Linked DNA regions of Caenorhabditis elegans. The protein of the gene in region 2 interacts with the protein of the main gene of each other region in a pairwise test. Each region holds a gene or a part of one and is shown on either strand. Other genes may lie near its edges.

Region 1 (7,349 bases), 4.5 Mb from region 2:
GAATACCATGTAACGCCTGCTTCCTGCCTCCCATGCAACCTGCGCCTGCCTACATGCGCGTCTTGCCTACCATGAAAAACTCAATGCTCACCCCGAATCGTTCATAGCATTGAGCTCATTCTTAACGTTCTCTGGAGCCTTAAGCATAAGTTTGTCAAGTTTCTCCTGCTTCTTCTCTACACTCATTTTCTTGTTTTCCATAATTTTCTTGGCCTCTTTCTCAAGCTTCTTCGCCTGTTTGCTAAGCTCTGGAACTGGAGAGGAGACGGTCATCTTGTTGTTTTTCATGATCAGTCTTTTGTGAATATCAGCGAATTTGGACTGAAAAATGTTTGTGTTTGTTGAGAAAAAATTATTTATCTTCTTACCCTTATCTCATCACTCTCATTTGCTAGAACTCTTCGAATATGCATTTGCTTCTGCTCCATATTCATTCTCTGCTCTCCAATAATTTTCTTGATCCGATCCATGGTTTCGCGTTGGTTTTGACGCCAAAATCCCGGTTTGGCCCGTTCCATAGCTCGCTCGCGGTCAGTTTTCTCCATGGGCTCACCGAAGTTGGCTTCTCCAATTCTGAAGGAAAATCAAGATTATTTGTTGCTAAGGTACCGTCTAAAGTGAGTTTTGAATAGATTATCGTTGTAATCTGGCGCTACGGTCAGTTTTTTACTAAGTGGCCGCGAGGAGATAAAACTTGGCCACCTATTCCGGAACTTACCTTGCTCTCATATAACCAAATGGCCCAAAGTCAAATGGATGCTCCCGATGAAAATATCCTTGTGGTGGATTCATGTTGAAAGATGGTCGCCGACGTGGCTCTTGTGTTGGGATTGTTGGAAAACCCTGGAAAATGAATGTTCAGAATTTTCAATAAGGCTTGGTAGGCAGACTCGTTTTCATGAAAGCTTGCCTATTATTTTTTGGTTTTTTTTCTTGCTGGACTCTGGTGTTTGGTGTTGTTTTCATGAAATCTTCAGTCCTTGGTACCTACGTGCCTGTCTACACGCCTACTTTCAATGTGCACAATCTTGATACAAGCGTAGGTGAATGAAGGCAAGCAAGCAGGCGTTTGTGTTCTGATCTAGTTTCAATTAGAAAAATCTACACAACATACCGAAATGGTTGTGACCTTGTAATAATTAACCTTGGGATTTTCGCTACGTGGCCGCGGAAAGCAAAAAACTCGGCCACCGATTTTTTGGCTGACTTGTTGCAAAACAACTCAAAAACTATATTTTAGATGTGAAATCTCTGCCGAAACTGCCACTTAAAAATCCTACAAGCCAAGAAAACTCACATAATAAGCATTAACATAGTCTGGCATGGCAGCTCCCTCATTAGCATCTCCGTATAAAGTTCTCTTGTAGTAAAAGCCGTTGACAACCGCCGAAAATAGAGAAATCAAAAGAATACGTTTCATTTCCAACAACCGACTAGTACAAAAAAAGGAGTCAACTGTGCACGGTCGAGTGGAGTGGACAATGGTCAGCGAGGGGGATCGGGAGGCTCCGAGAGCACACTGTTTGGGAGTAAATAGAGACCTTTGACGGGAGGCGAGGAGGGGCGGTACCACACGATCTAGGCGCGCTCTCGGTGAACCGATAAACCTATACCGTTTCCGGCTTTTTACGTTTAAAACTTTTGGGTTAGAGCTCTCTCCGCGAGGCGATGAGCACACCATGAACAGTGCAGATATCTGACAAGGTGTGCGGGAGAAGTAAATATAGACATTGGGGATGAGGTAATGACGTGCAATCACGAGTATCACCTCTTTTTGAAGGGCATTGCGGTTCATTGCAACGTGGCCGAGAACAAGAAATCGGTGGCCGAGTTTTTTAAATCCTTAGTAGACTGGAGCTTAGTCAAGCATACCTCCCTGCCTACAAATGTTGACTACGTAGATTTATTCTTGTTCTGCCATTTCATTAAGAGATAATGGGAGGACACCCCGACTCAACGAGTTTGGAATAGCTTTATTTGGTACAATAATCACTTTTTTCGTAAAAAGACATGGTTTTGGAAAGAGAATGAAAAATTGGTGTGATCGGGAAAGTAGGGAAAATGGGAAAAATTATCACATAGGTCAGGTAAGTTTGCTGCAAAAAAGGGGCATTGGGATTTAAATAAATGTGTATAGAAAATTGGCACCTTTTTGGAGAAAAATCTGAAAAATTCCATAGAGTGTCGGCAAGAAAGTTTTGAGAAAGTGGAAAAGGTCTTCAACAGAAAACGTTGGCCAATACCAAAAATATAAAAATTTGTGTAATATTAGTTTTCGATGTCAATTGGTAGATCGTCATCATCCTCGTCCGATTCCATGGCACCATTTTGCACTGCCAACTTAGCCTTTGCTGTCTCCCTCTGAATTCCGGAATTCTCGGATACTTCCATGTATCCCACGGCGTTCGGGTTAACTGTCCAAGCATAAGCTCGAGCTTTAGCCTCGTAATTTTCACTGGAACAAGATAATTTTAAAAGTTAAGTGTTCTCTTTTCTCTGTTCAACGACGCTTAGCTCCAAATCGAAGTGGCCTAGAAGAATAGGTGGCCGAGTTTGTTCACATTTGCAGCTGTGCGCCGTTAAAATATATCTAACCGCTGATTCTCATATTCCATCCAGGCTTCAATATTTGCAGCTTGAGTAAGATCGGGCGTTGCAAGTAGATTGCTGATTTCCCTCAGAAGTTTCTTGAGTGAAGTTTCAGAAGACCAGTGCTCTTGTTCCAGCATTTTAAGATAAATTGATCCTGTAAAGATTTTTGTAATAATGCGTTTCTTTTTGCTACCGTTTTCTGTATTTCACACTCAAACATATTTTTTCGAAACAGTTCTAACCAACCTCTGAGGTCCACGTTCGGATGATGAAGCGGCGTTTTGAATTCACAAATTGGCGGAATTATAGGCCATTTGTGAAAGTTCACGGAAACCTGGAGATAATATACTTTTGCGAACTAAAAAGTAATTAAACCTCATATTCCCCTCCCTCCCAGGGGCTTCCTCTCGGTCCAGGTACTGTACATATCCAAGAACACCATATGTCTGCGCCCTCAAAACTAATTGGCTTTGCCGTATACCCTTGCGGTGTTCTCTGAAAAAAAGTTATTTCGACACATGCCACGCCCACTTTTGAAGTAGGCATAAATCAGGCCTAGGTCCCAGGTAGGCAGGCGAGTTAAACTTTGTGTGAAAGCTTACCTCATCCCACTTGGCTTTCTCCTCCTTCACAGTGTTGATTTCATTGGTGAATTCGCGTGAATTGGTTTCAACGTCGAATAATAGCGCATCGGCAGTTTCGCGAAAATATGAGAGATCAACATATTGTCTGTTGCTACGTCTTCGCATGTTTCTGAAAGCTTAAGCTCTAATCTGGAAAGTCAAAGTAATCCAATTCGTGACGAAGCTTCCGGAGCCGCGTTAACTGAACCTAAGCTGGATCTTATTTGAAAAAGCTACAGTGAATATATTCTTAAAGCGCACAAAACGTTGCATATTATCCCACGAGGCCTAAGGCAACCAGAAGCTTCAAACAAAAAGTGAAGAAGAGAGTATGAATACGTGGGATAATATCACAAGTTGAAGAAGAGGCAGGTACGAGAGAAAAAGAGCTACATAATCACACAGAAGCGGATGCCGTCTCTCTATCATTAGTACGTTGTCCTAGAGATGGCCTCTTTCTCTCTCGCGCCCTCTGTTTTAGAATTGAGCATGTAACAAAAACTACACGTGCTCTCAGATTATGTATGTGTGTGTGTGTGTGTGAGCTACTTGATTCCGACGGGTTGGAGGATTAAAGGTATATCTGATGTTGGGCACACTTTTAAACGTGGAATGACGCAACTCCTCTGCCACACACTGCACACGCTTTTTCATTCAGCTAAAATTTATCATGACGAGACCGGATACCGTACGCGGCAGAACCCATGTGGTGTCTTCAAAATGCCCAAAATGATCATGATCATCAATACGACACCAAACATCAACCTCCGCATTGATTGACAATTTTCACATTCTAATTGAATTAGCATTTCGAACTATAAAAATGCTCAGTTCGCCATGTAGCCAAACCAAAATATGCGTCTTCCAATTTTTCTTCTAGCTCTTTCAAGTGCTTCTATTGTCTTTTCATTGGATCCAGTCCCCGAAGAATATGCCAACGTACCGAAGGAGTTCTTCGAAAAGTTCCAGGCAGCTATCAAATCAGGGGACCCAGTTGCAGTAGTGGATCTTTTTGCTCCGGATGATATGCTTCGTAAGTACGATATCAGAAACAATTTTGAAATTTAGTTATTTTCAGCTGTCAGTGGCATGATTGAAGCGGCACAGGGAATCATCAAATCTTTTGAATCTTATCCGACCGGAATAATTGAACGAGTTCGCTACGAGTATGGAGTCATTCAGATTAATGTCAGATATTACCCCAACACGCCCCTTTTGTCCAAAAAAACGACTATTTTCAAGATAAAATACGAGGTAATCAGGGAGTTGGACTAAAATTTTATCCAGCCGCAATCACCAGAATAGATTTGTAGATAAATTTTAATTTGCAGAACAAATGGAAAGGCTGGACAATGGTGCACTTCAGTGATTGGATGTAGTTTCATATTCGAATATCGGGACTTGTATGACCTAAATAAATGTTTTAAATATATTTAAAAATGTTTCGAAAACTTTTCAGAAATCAAATTGGCTGTTACATTTTACCTATCCACCAAAAATTGACAGAATGATACACGGCCTATTGAAGAAATGGTAACAAATCCGTACAAAGTTTTCAGATATTCACAAAACGCAGTAAACGAGAAGAGTCGACTTTCTGGAAGTTTTCCCTTTTCACATGATTTTAATATTCTTTCATTTTTGAACATTGTGTTTTTCTATTCTGTTGGAATAGCTTTAGTTTTTTATGAATCGATAGATTTTATCAATTCCTGAAGAATAAGGTACATGGATAGATACATTTTTCAAAAATTTTAGTGAAAGGTTTGGCAAATTGAAAAATTGAACTTTTGGGGGCAATTTCAAGCATTGCTGCAAATTTGAACTCTTCGATTGTTTAAATACAAACAATTGAAACGCAATTAAAGTACACATCACGTAGAGAAAAACACAATTTAAGTTGAACAATTTCTCACTGATAATACTCTAAATTTAAAGTTTCAAATTGTATTTCTCATCGTTTCCACAACAGGTTATCTATCACATTGCGCAATTTTACTCATTACAATTTTGCAATATTTCGCAATATTTTAGTAATTAATTTTGATTTTTGTTCCGCAAACTTTCCTCATATATTGTTTGAACATTTTTGACTAATAATGTAAAATATTTTCTATAAATTCCTGAACATTCATTTCTAAATTACCTAAACTCCGTCTATTGAATCTCTGCGTCTCTTGTCTAAAAATCGATAAAAAATGACTGATCGTGACCTGCAAATATATGAATTGGAAGCATTGGAAAGTGTTCTAAGAGAGAAGAAACTGGCGAAATCCAGTGATTGGAGTGATAAGAATGCTGAAATCCAGGGAATTATTGAGGTAAAGATTTTGGTTTTTTGAGAGAAGCTGGGGTATTTTAACTTTTAAAAAAGTAATTTAATGTCCACTAAATAACAACAAAAAATTATTTATCTGAAACTACCCTTACTATATTTTAGCTACACTTTCTACGTAATTATGTAAGTTATCAAAAATATTTAAGGTAACAAAGTATAGAAAATTTCAATAGCCTCCATAATCATTAGCCCGAAATTTTGGCCACGGTTGACTATTTTCCTGTACGAGATAAACTAATATGGCCATATATGGAGTAAAGTATTTTTTAGAAGAGTCACTAAGTTACGGTTGAAAGTTGGTTAGTTGGTTTTTTTAAATGAGTTTTAGAATAGTCAAGTGCAATTTCAGGTCGGATTTGACAACTTATACGATCCAACAGTCACAATTGAAGGAACATCTGACTCCGGCGATCAATTTCATCTTCCTCTTGACATTCTTCCTCCAATTCGACTAAAATTCCATCTTCCAAATGATTATCCCACCGTATCATCACCAAAACTTGAACTGGAAAGTTATTGGATGAATCAGGAACAAATGACATCTTGTGAAACCGAGTTGGCAAAGATTTGCGAGGAAAACCAGATGATGGAGGTGCTTTTTATGTGCTACCAGACAATAATTGATTTGGTGAGTAGCGAGAATCAAATAAAAAGCACCATTATGAGCCGACATCTCAGACACGTAAGGTGTCCTCTGCTAAATTTAACTGCAGCCGACATTTTGCTGGTTCGTTATTGAATGACATAGATGGGCTACCCGCGATATGTCGTCTGCAAAGCGTTCTGAGATGTAACGGTCTACACAGATAGTAGAAATTACATATTCATTAGAAGTAGGATGTTGATTAGAAGACCGACATCTCACGGGTATGCCTTTGAGCGAATTTAAATCTAGATATCTCATGCAGAATTTAACTTTTTTAATTCTGCGGAATGTCGACTGCTACGTTCTTTGATTCAAGCAGCTGGCGTCTTTTTCAACTATCAAATTTCAGATGGCCCAGAACACTCCGAAAATTATAAATTTGAACGAGGCATGTGCACTGAACAGACAAGGAGAGACTATCGAATCTCTGAAAATGAAAATACTACAGAAAGAAGAGGAAGCTGTTGAAGAACAGTTTGTTAATACCCTCTACGATTGCCAAGTAACGTTTGTATTTTTTTTCTAATTTTTCATCAAAATTTCCAGGTATGCTTCGAATCCCAAATGGGACAGCACTGCATAAAGTTCCAGCCATGTTCTCATGTTTTCTGCAAATCCTGCACTTTCAACTATTATATTTCTATTGCCAAGGGGTTTGTGGTTAGTTTGAATTTTCTTAGCTGATATATTTTTATTGGATTTTTCAGTCGAAACCAATGTCATGTCTAGCAGAAGGATGTGAAAATGAAGCCCAACAGGGTATGGTGCAAGAGGCTCTAGGAGAGGAGCTGTTTGCAAAGTAAGATTCCTAGGAGATTGACAAGTATTTGATTAATTTTTAAAGGTATGAAGCTCATATGCTAGAAAAAGCAATTCGAGAAATGGATGATTCAATGGAATGTCCAAATGAAAATTGCCAAATGGTGGCTTATCTAACTGACAGGTAAAATTTAGAAAAATGTGTTGTGTTGCTATTAGACTATCAGAACTCGTGAATTTTTCTTGAACTTTGTGTCTGGAGCTCTGTGATTGTCGGTTTGAAATTTGAGTGTTGAAATTTGTTGAGCCCGCTGGATTTCTCGTATAAAATCTTTGGGTGCCCATAATTCTGCTCACAATGACTCTCAAAGACTTGATTTTTTTGAGCGTA
Region 2 (8,627 bases):
TCCTCCATCTGATCCTCCTCCACCTCCTCCTCAACCTTCCTGCGTCTCTTCTTCTGCACCAATGTCTCTGTCACCACTTTGTCTGTCCGACGCTTCCGATCATTCTCTCGCTTCCGACGCTTCCAATCCTCCACCGCATGCCTACACTGCATCTCGATGCTCCAGAAGAATCGAACCTCTTCCATCAGTGTCTCAGTCTTTTCGGCCCGATCCTTCTCCCGGGAGATTCTGGCGATTCGAACGGATTTCCAGACGAGTTGCTTCTGCTTTTCCAGCATTTCCTCCAACATTCGGTCACTTTCTACCGAACTTTCGCGAAGATCCACGTATTTTTGCTGGTTAAACGACTTCATCACTTCGCTCGCCTCGTCGATTGTGTATCGCTTGTGAGACATTGGGGGTTTTCTGGAAATTTTCAGAAATGACGGAGGAAAAAGGGGCGAAAATGGCATAAAATCCATGAAAATCGGCGGAAATCGGTGAAAAATTGAGAAAATTCGAGGAAGTTGTGAAAAAATCGGCAAAAAATTGCTCCAAATTGAGCAGAAATTCGGGGAAAGCCAGGAAATCGAGGATATTATCGGAAAACGAGCCATTTCCTGGAAATTTTCAGAAAAGACGGGAGGAAAATGCGAAAATTCGAAGAAAAGGGGCGAAATTGAGTGAAAATAGCGAAAAAATGACTGAAAATCGGAGAAATTCACCGGAAAATGTGGGTAAAAAGAGCAAAAGTTTATCAGAAATGGTGGAGATTGTCGGAAAAGCGGCGGAAAATCGAGAAAATTGTCAAAAATTCAATAGAATCCAGAAAATCGTGGTGGAAAATTGCTCCAAATTGAGCACAATTTCGGGAAAAGCCTGAAGGGTGGAGGAATTATCGGAAAAATATAGGAAATTGGCGGAAAATTGGTCAAAAATTGGTGCGAAAACGACAAAATTGTAGAAAAAAGTCTCTCAAATCAATGAAAATTGGCAGAAAATTGTTCCAACTTGAGCTGGAAACTGGGGGAAAAGCCAAGGAAATACAGGAAATTTGAGCAAAAATTGAGCAAAAACTGCCGAATTGCAGAGAAATGTCACAAATCCAAGAAAATCGGCGAAAATCCATGAAAAACGATGAAAAATGCTCCAAACTGACCGAAAAAATCCGAGGAACTGGCGAAAAACTTGAAAAATACCAAAATTAGAGTGAAAAATTGGCTGAAATCCTGGAAAAAACTCGAAAATATCACTAAAAAAACAAAAAAATGTGTAAAATAATCATAAAAGAGGTTAAAAATCGCGTTTTCCGTCGAAAATTAGCATTTTTCGGGGGTAAAATCGATATTTTTAACCAAAAAAGGCTACGAAACGGGTGCACCATGACACCAATTATCGATTTTTTAAAACGCGCGTTTTAATTGGGCGAAAATTGAATTTTAAACTCAAATTTTCAGGTTTTTGACCGAAAAATCGGATTTTTCCGCAATTTTTATAGTTTTTTTCCCGAAAAATCAAATTTTTGAACAGAATTTCAGATTTTTAGCAGGAAAAATTAGGAAAATCACATTTTTCTATGAGATTTACTCTTTTTTCGCTGAAAAATTAGGTTTTTTTCAGAGAAAATCGCATTTTTTGGTTGAAAAATTGAGTTTTAAGCTCAAAAATTGAGGTTTTTGACTGAAAAATCGAATTTTTCTGCAATTTTTACAGTTTTCATTAGAAATGTTAGCATTTTTCGCAAAAATTTGATTTTTAATTGGATTTTTTTTTTATTTTTTCTCCAATTTGTTGGGTTTAAAGTGGATTTTTCTCCGGAAAAATCAGGAAATTTACATTTTTCTCTGAGATTTACTCATTTATAGTTGAAAAATTAGGTTTTTTTCAGGGAAAATCACATTTTTACAGGGAAAAATTGAGTTTTAAGCTCAAAAATTGAGGTTTTTGACTGAAAAATCGAATTTTTCTGCATTTTTTTCGCTTTTTTTAACTGAAAAATTGACTTTTTTGGCTGAAAATCGAAGATTTTTACTGAAATTCAGCGATTTTTCCATATTTTTAGCTGAAATTTCCAGATTTTCAGCCTTTTTTCAGCTCTTTTCCAGCCATCTACCTCGAGCAAATCGTTGGGCCCGCAATTGAGAAGAATAAGCGTCGTTTAGACCGTTGTGACAGGCTTCTCGTCATTTTTTGAGCCGGAATTTCCTCCGAAATTGGTGGTGTTGGCGCTTTTTGGAGCTGAAAATAGTGAAAAATCCGGGTTTTTAGGGGGTAAAAATTGGGAAAATCGGGGGTTTTTAAGCTTTAAAAAAAGTGGAAAACCACGATTTTTCAACTGAAAATGGTGAAAAAACCCGACTTTTGGGGTCAAAAACACCTAATTTTCATGATTTTTTCACTCAAAAACCCTGAAAATTCGCATTTTCCTGCAAAAACTCAACCTTTTCCTCACAAATGAACAAATCGTCGTAGCTGCTCTCGATATTCTCCTGGTTTTTCAATTTTCGGACCATCTGAAACGAAAATTCGTTGAATGTTTTGGTATTTTTCTGCGAAAAAATGCAAAAATTTGAGATTTTAGCTAGAAAATTGGGTTTTTGAGCTAAAAATTGCAAAAATTTTGGATTTTTAACTGAAAAATCGGGATTTTGAGATTAAAACTGGGTTTTCAAGGTAAAAATTGCAAAAAATTGATATTTTTGCAAGAAAATCGCAATTTTTTTTGACTAAAATTAAGTTTTTCGGCGAAAAAATGCAAAAATTTGGGATTTTTAGCTGGAAAATCGGGATTTTGAGATTAAAATTGAGTTTTTCTGCGAAAAATGCGAAAAATAGCTTCAAAATCAAAATTTTCAGGGCTTCCAACAGATTTTTACCCTGAAAATGGAGAATTTTAACCCAAAAATTCATAATTTTTTAGGTTTTCCTATGAAAAAGTTTATTTTTAGGTCAAAATTCCGGTTTTTCAGTGTAAAAACCAACGAAAATCAAGAAATTTTAGATGTAAAAGTCAACATTTTTCTGAATTTTCGGCAAGATTTTCAAGGAAAAATCGGATTTTTGACCGAAAATGCATAATTTATAAGTTGAAAAATGTATTTTTGTGGTTTTTTTGGCTGAAAAATATCAAGTTTTCCACGGGAAAATGTGATTTTTAAGTCAAAATCTCGGCCTTTAAGGCTAAAAACTTTCGAAAATTGAATTTTAAGCCAAAACTATGCTTTTTATGGCTGAAAATGCAATTTTTAGTCACAAAATTCAAAATTTTGAGGAAAAAATCGGGTTTTTAAGCGTATTTTTGTAGTTTTTGCCGTGAAAAATCGTTTTTTCGGACTAAAATTAGAGTTTTTTGGCTGACAAATGCGATTTTAAGGTAAAAATCCACGGTTTTCCGGGGTAAAAACTGTCGAAAAATCCGAATTTCGCATCAAAATCCGTCGTACATTATCAAGTGTAATGCTGGGAATCATCGCTGCAAATGGTCCAACGTCGAGTTTACAGATTACACAGGCTCTCGTATCACGTGTATGTCGTTCGATGCACGGCTCACAGTACGAGTGCCCACATGTTACCATTACGGGCTGAAAATTTGGAAAAATTGGCTGAAAATTGTAAAAATTAGGGTAGAAATGGGGTTTTTCGGCTGAAAATCGAAAAAATCGGCGGAAAACTGGGATTTTTGACATAAAAATTGGAAAAATCCGGGAAAATTGATGGTTTTTGGGCTAAAAATCGGAAAACTCCGCTGAAAAACTGGGGTTTCTTGAGCTAAAAATCTGGGAAAATGGGTGATTTTTGAGATGAAAAACGTAAAAAAACGGGAGAAAACTGTGTAGTTTTTGGGCTAAAAATTGTAAAAATCCTGAGAAACCGAGATTTTTGGGTTAAAAATCGGGAAAATCCTGGGAAAAATCGGTGATTTTTGAGCTAAAAATTGTGTAAAAATCGGCAGAAATCGGTGTGATTTTTGGGTTAAAATTGTAAAAATCCGGAAAAATTTGGATTTTTCGGCTGAAAATTGAAAAAAATCTTAAAATATTGAAGTTTTTTGAGCAAAAAATTGGAAAAATCTGGAAAAATGGGAGGTTTTTGAGCTGAAAATCGAAAAAAATCGGTTATTTTTGAGCTAAAATCAGAAAAATCCGAAAAAAATCGGTTATTTTTGAGCTAAAATCAGAAAAATCCGAAAAAATTGGGGTTTTTTGGGCTAAAAATTGTAAAAGTCCGGAAAAATTGTGGGTTTCGAGCTAAAAATCGTTAAAATATGGGAAAAACTGGAGTTTTTTGGCTAAAAACCGAAAAAATCCGGCAAAATTGGGGTTTTTAGGGCTAAAAATCGGAAAAATCCAAAATTTTAAGCTAAAATCTGTAAAAATCCGAGAAAAACTGGGGTTTCTGAGCTGAAAATCGAAAAAAATCTGAAAAATTGTGGTTTTTAAGCTAAAAACTGTAAAAATCCGAGAAAAACTGGGGTTTTTGTGCTGAAAATCTTAAAAATCCAAAGTTTTTAGTCTAAAAATCGTAAAAATCGGCAAAAAACTGTAAAAATCCGAGAAAATCTGTGATTATTATGCTAAAAATCGGAAAAAATGCGGTTTTCTAGCTAAAAATCCCCAAAAAATCGTGATTTTTGGCTGAAAATCTGGAAAAATGGGCAAAAACAAGACAATTTTCGGAATTTCAAGTTTTTATGAGAAAATTTCGCATTTTTCCCCGATTTTTCACATTTATAGCTGGAAAAAGACGAAAATTGCACATTTTTGGGTCAAAAATGGGTAAAATTAAGCGATTTTTAATGGAAAATCCGCCATTTTTCACGCAATTTTTCTTGAAATCCTCGGTATTTCCATGTTCTAACCCTGTCGAAAAGCTGATCACACAGTGGACAGAGGAGTTCCGAGCTCAAATCGCGTCGAACCGGCTGTTGAACGTCGTTGATGCACTGAAAATTGTGTTTTTAGGCGGTTTCCAGGGCGAAAAACACGATTTTCTGCTTATTTTCCAGCAAAAAATGCGTTTTTTCGATTTTTTTCGCCGCTAAAAATCCGATTTTACCGCTGTAGAAGTAGTTGCGTTGGACTCCAGCAGACGTGGCGATGAGTTGGCAATCGATAAATCGCTCTGCGAAGCCCGTATTTGAGCGGATGAAGTGTCTAAATCCGTCATTTTTGGGCTGAAAATGAGGATTTTGAGCCTGAAAAATCATTGAAAAACGCTGAAAAATAAGTATAAAATGCATGAAAAGTACAGAAAACTGGGAAAAACAACGGGGTTAAGGAATACAGAACTTTATATGTACAGAAATAATGAAAATTGTTAGAAAATTTCCTCGGCGACCTTCTTCAGCTCATCCTGAAACTCTTTTTGAAGAGAAAACGCGAATTCCTTGACTTTATACTGCTCCTGGAGGTCTTCGAGTTCTAGGAAATGGGAAAATTATTGTGAAAATTCACTAAATTTCTCACGTTTTTCCACCAATTTTCGCTTCTCGAGCGTCTCCTCCAGCTTCCGATCGGCCTCGTCCATTTCCTTGTTAATTATCTGCAGTTTGGAGGCGCAAACTTCTTGGAGATCCGAAAAATCTTGGGTTTTCGGCAGTTTTTCGACTTTTACCGCGAGAACTTCGTTGATCATGTCGTCGATTGATTTTTGCATTTTTTTTGATTGCTGAAAACTGATAAAAATTTGGAAAAATTATAAAAAACAAAAAAAATAAAAATAAAAAACACGAAAAACGTTTAAAAATTAAAAAAACAAAAAAACAAATTTCAAACAAATCCATTTTCGCGCCATCGGGTCTCACCACGACAGGCACTTGGCATCGTGCCAAGTGCAAGTGCGCTCCATCGCTCTCTTTTCCGAAAGAGCGTCTCGTGCAACGACATCTGACATTTTCGAAGGGAAATTTATTGATTTTTCGGCAAATTTTTGGGTTTTAAGGTGAAAAATCTATTTAAAAGTGTTAAAAAATTAACTTAAAATGGGGAAAATACCCTGAAAAATCGAGTTTTTTATCTTTTATCCTTAAAAACGTAAATTTCCCAACAAAAAAAAAATTATCCTGCATTTTCCCTTCGTTTTTACGAATTCCAGATGTCCGACGACAGTTCAAGCCCCCTCACAACTCTCAAAATCCTGATTATCGGCGAAAGTGGCGTAGGGAAGTCGAGGTGAGGGGTTTTCTCGCCCAAAAAAAATTTAAAAAAATCAATTTAAATTCAAAAATTTTCAGCTTAATGCTACGATTCGTGGACGATGTCTTCGATCCTGAGCAGGCTGCAACGATAGGTTCGTGGAAATTCCAGGGATTTTTGGATTTTTTGATTTTTAGGCCAAAAAAACCCTAAATTTATTGTTTTTTAGGCGTGGATTTCCGCGTAACTTCAATGGCAATCGACGGAAATCGTGTAAAACTCGCAATTTGGGACACCGCCGGCCAGGAGAGGTTCCGTACCCTCACGCCGAGCTATTATCGTGGAGCACAGGGCGTAATTTGCGTGTATGACGTCACTAGCCGCAGCTCCTTCGAGAAATTGAATCATTGGATGCAAGAAGTCGATACTTATTGCACAAATGACAATATTATCAAGATGATGGTCGCGAACAAGATTGATATGGTGCGAAAAAGCCGATTTTGTTCGATTTTTGGCCTAAAAAATAATTTTCAGCCAAATCGAGTGGTAACCCGCGAGGAAGGCCTAAAATTCGCAAAACGCCACCGCACACTATTCATTGAAGCTTCTGCGAAGACTAAGGAGGGTGTACAGTGCACATTTGAGGAGCTTATCGAGAAAATCATTCAAACGCCCGACTTATGGGACAATGACCGCCCGTCTTTTCGGTTGGGACAACCGACGGGCTCCAGTGGTGGCGGCGGAATGTGTGGATGCTAGGAAATTCTCGCGGAAAATTCGTTCATTTTGACATAAAATCGATATTTTTACTGTAAAATTCATCAATTTTCACCTAAAATCCTGTTTTTTTCATGTAAATTGTCAAAATTTGACCTAAAATCCTGTTTTTTCCATGTAAAAACGTGAATTTCGGTTTAAAATCGCCAATTTTCCCTCAAAATCGCCGTTTTTTCCATATAAAAATGTCCAACTTTGGCTTAAAATCGCTGGTTTTTCATGCAAAGTTTATCGATTTTAACCTAAATTAGGCCTTTTTCCATGTAAAAATGCAAATTTTCCCCTAAAATCGCCAATTTCCCAGCAAAATCGCTGTTTTCGATGCAAAATTCATCAATTTTCACCTAAAATAGCCCGTTTTTTTTCATGTAAATTGCCAAATTTTGACCTAAAATAACCATTTTTTCATGTAAAATCGCCGATTTTGGCTTAAAATCGCAAATTTTCCCCCATAATGGCCGTTTTTCATGGAAAATCGCCGATTTTGGCTTAAAATCGCCAATTTCCCATCAAAATCGCTGTTTTCGATGCAAAATTTATCGATTTTCACCTAAAATAGCTATTTTTCCCTGTAAAAATGTCAATTTTGACTTGAAATTGCCAATTTTCACCTGAAATCCCCGTTTTTCATTCAAAATTTATCGATTTTCACCTAAAATAGCTATTTTCCATGAGGAAATGTCGATTTTGGCTTAAAATTGCCACTTTTTCATGTAAAAATGTCAATTTTTCTCAAAAATCGCCGTTTTTCGTGCAAAATTTATCGATTTTCATCTAAAAAAGCTATTTTCCATACAAAAATACCAATTTTGGCTTAAAATTGCCACACTTTTTCATGTAAAAATGCCATTTTTTCCATGTAAAAACGACAATTTTCCCCCAAAATCGCTGTTTTCCATGTAAAATTACCAATTTCGGCTCAAAATTTCCAATTTTCATGTAACATTTATCGATTTTCACCTAAATTAGCCATTTTTCCGAGCAAAAATGCAAATTTTGGCCTAAAATCGCCAATTTTCCCCCAAAATTGTCGTTTTTCCGTGTAAAATTCATCGATTTTCACTTAAAATAGCTATTTTCCACGCAAAATTTATCGATTTTTACCTAAATTAGGCCCTTTTTTCATGTAAAATGTCAATTTTGACCTAAAATCGCTGGTTTTTCATGCACAATTCATCGATTTTCACCTAAAAAAAAAGTTCTTTTCCATGTAAAAATGCCAATTTTGTCTTAAAATTGTCAATTTTTCCCCAAAATTGCTGTTTTTAATGTGCAAAATTCATCGATTTTTCCGCGAAAAATCCCCGTTTTCCATGCAAAATTTATCGATTTTTACCTAAATTAGGTCGATTTTCCCCCAAAATTCCCCCATTTTTCATGTAAAATTCGTCCATTTTCCCCGCTAAATTGTACAAAAAACCACCCGAAAATCCCCCAATTTCACATAATTCTTGTCAAATTTCACACATTTTCAGTGCCTTTAAGCCCCGTTTTTTTGCTATAAAATTGCAACATTTTTCCTGTAATTTATTGGATTTTTGTGTTATTTTTTCTCTCGTTTTCAGCGATTTTCAGCATATCTTCATCGATTTTTTGCAGATTTTCAGCTATTTTTTTATCGATTTTTTTGGGAGATTTTTGTCATTTTTCACCTAATTTTATTGATTTTCAGCCTAATTTTGTGTGTGCTTTTACCCATTTTTCTATTATTTCCATCATTTTCCCCGAAATTTTATA

What was found.
Region 1: the proteins of par-2 (region 2) and uev-2 interact in a two-hybrid assay, tested with the Caenorhabditis elegans proteins (one study listed by BioGRID).

What each region holds. Positions count from the first base shown.
Region 1 is NC_003281.10:5,579,133-5,586,481, reverse strand, and holds uev-2 (UBC core domain-containing protein), read right to left. Parts: upstream 3,358-7,349; 5' UTR 3,342-3,357; coding exon 3,195-3,341; intron 3,088-3,194; coding exon 2,968-3,087; intron 2,927-2,967; coding exon 2,839-2,926; intron 2,747-2,838; coding exon 2,596-2,746; intron 2,456-2,595; coding exon 2,269-2,455; 3' UTR 1,960-2,268; downstream 1-1,959. Other genes in the region: F56D2.3 (DUF148 domain-containing protein), read right to left, coding at 92-321, 369-573, 719-843, 1,298-1,420; F56D2.8 (DUF4440 domain-containing protein), read left to right, coding at 4,071-4,248, 4,294-4,469, 4,547-4,594; F56D2.5 (RBR-type E3 ubiquitin transferase), read left to right, coding at 5,414-5,536, 5,903-6,181, 6,549-6,701, 6,746-6,859, 6,907-6,998, 7,044-7,142.
Region 2 is NC_003281.10:1,077,927-1,086,553, reverse strand, and holds the start of par-2 (RING-type domain-containing protein), read right to left. Parts: upstream 5,160-8,627; 5' UTR 5,146-5,159; coding exon 5,035-5,145; intron 4,922-5,034; coding exon 4,838-4,921; intron 3,561-4,837; coding exon 3,423-3,560; intron 2,493-3,422; coding exon 2,421-2,492; intron 2,218-2,420; coding exon 2,093-2,217; intron 396-2,092; coding exon of another isoform or gene 1-395. Other genes in the region: F58B6.11 (uncharacterized protein), read right to left, coding at 1-395; kbp-4 (KNL (kinetochore null) Binding Protein), read right to left, coding at 5,296-5,399, 5,445-5,634; Ras-related protein Rab-18, read left to right, coding at 6,073-6,149, 6,212-6,267, 6,343-6,596, 6,648-6,872.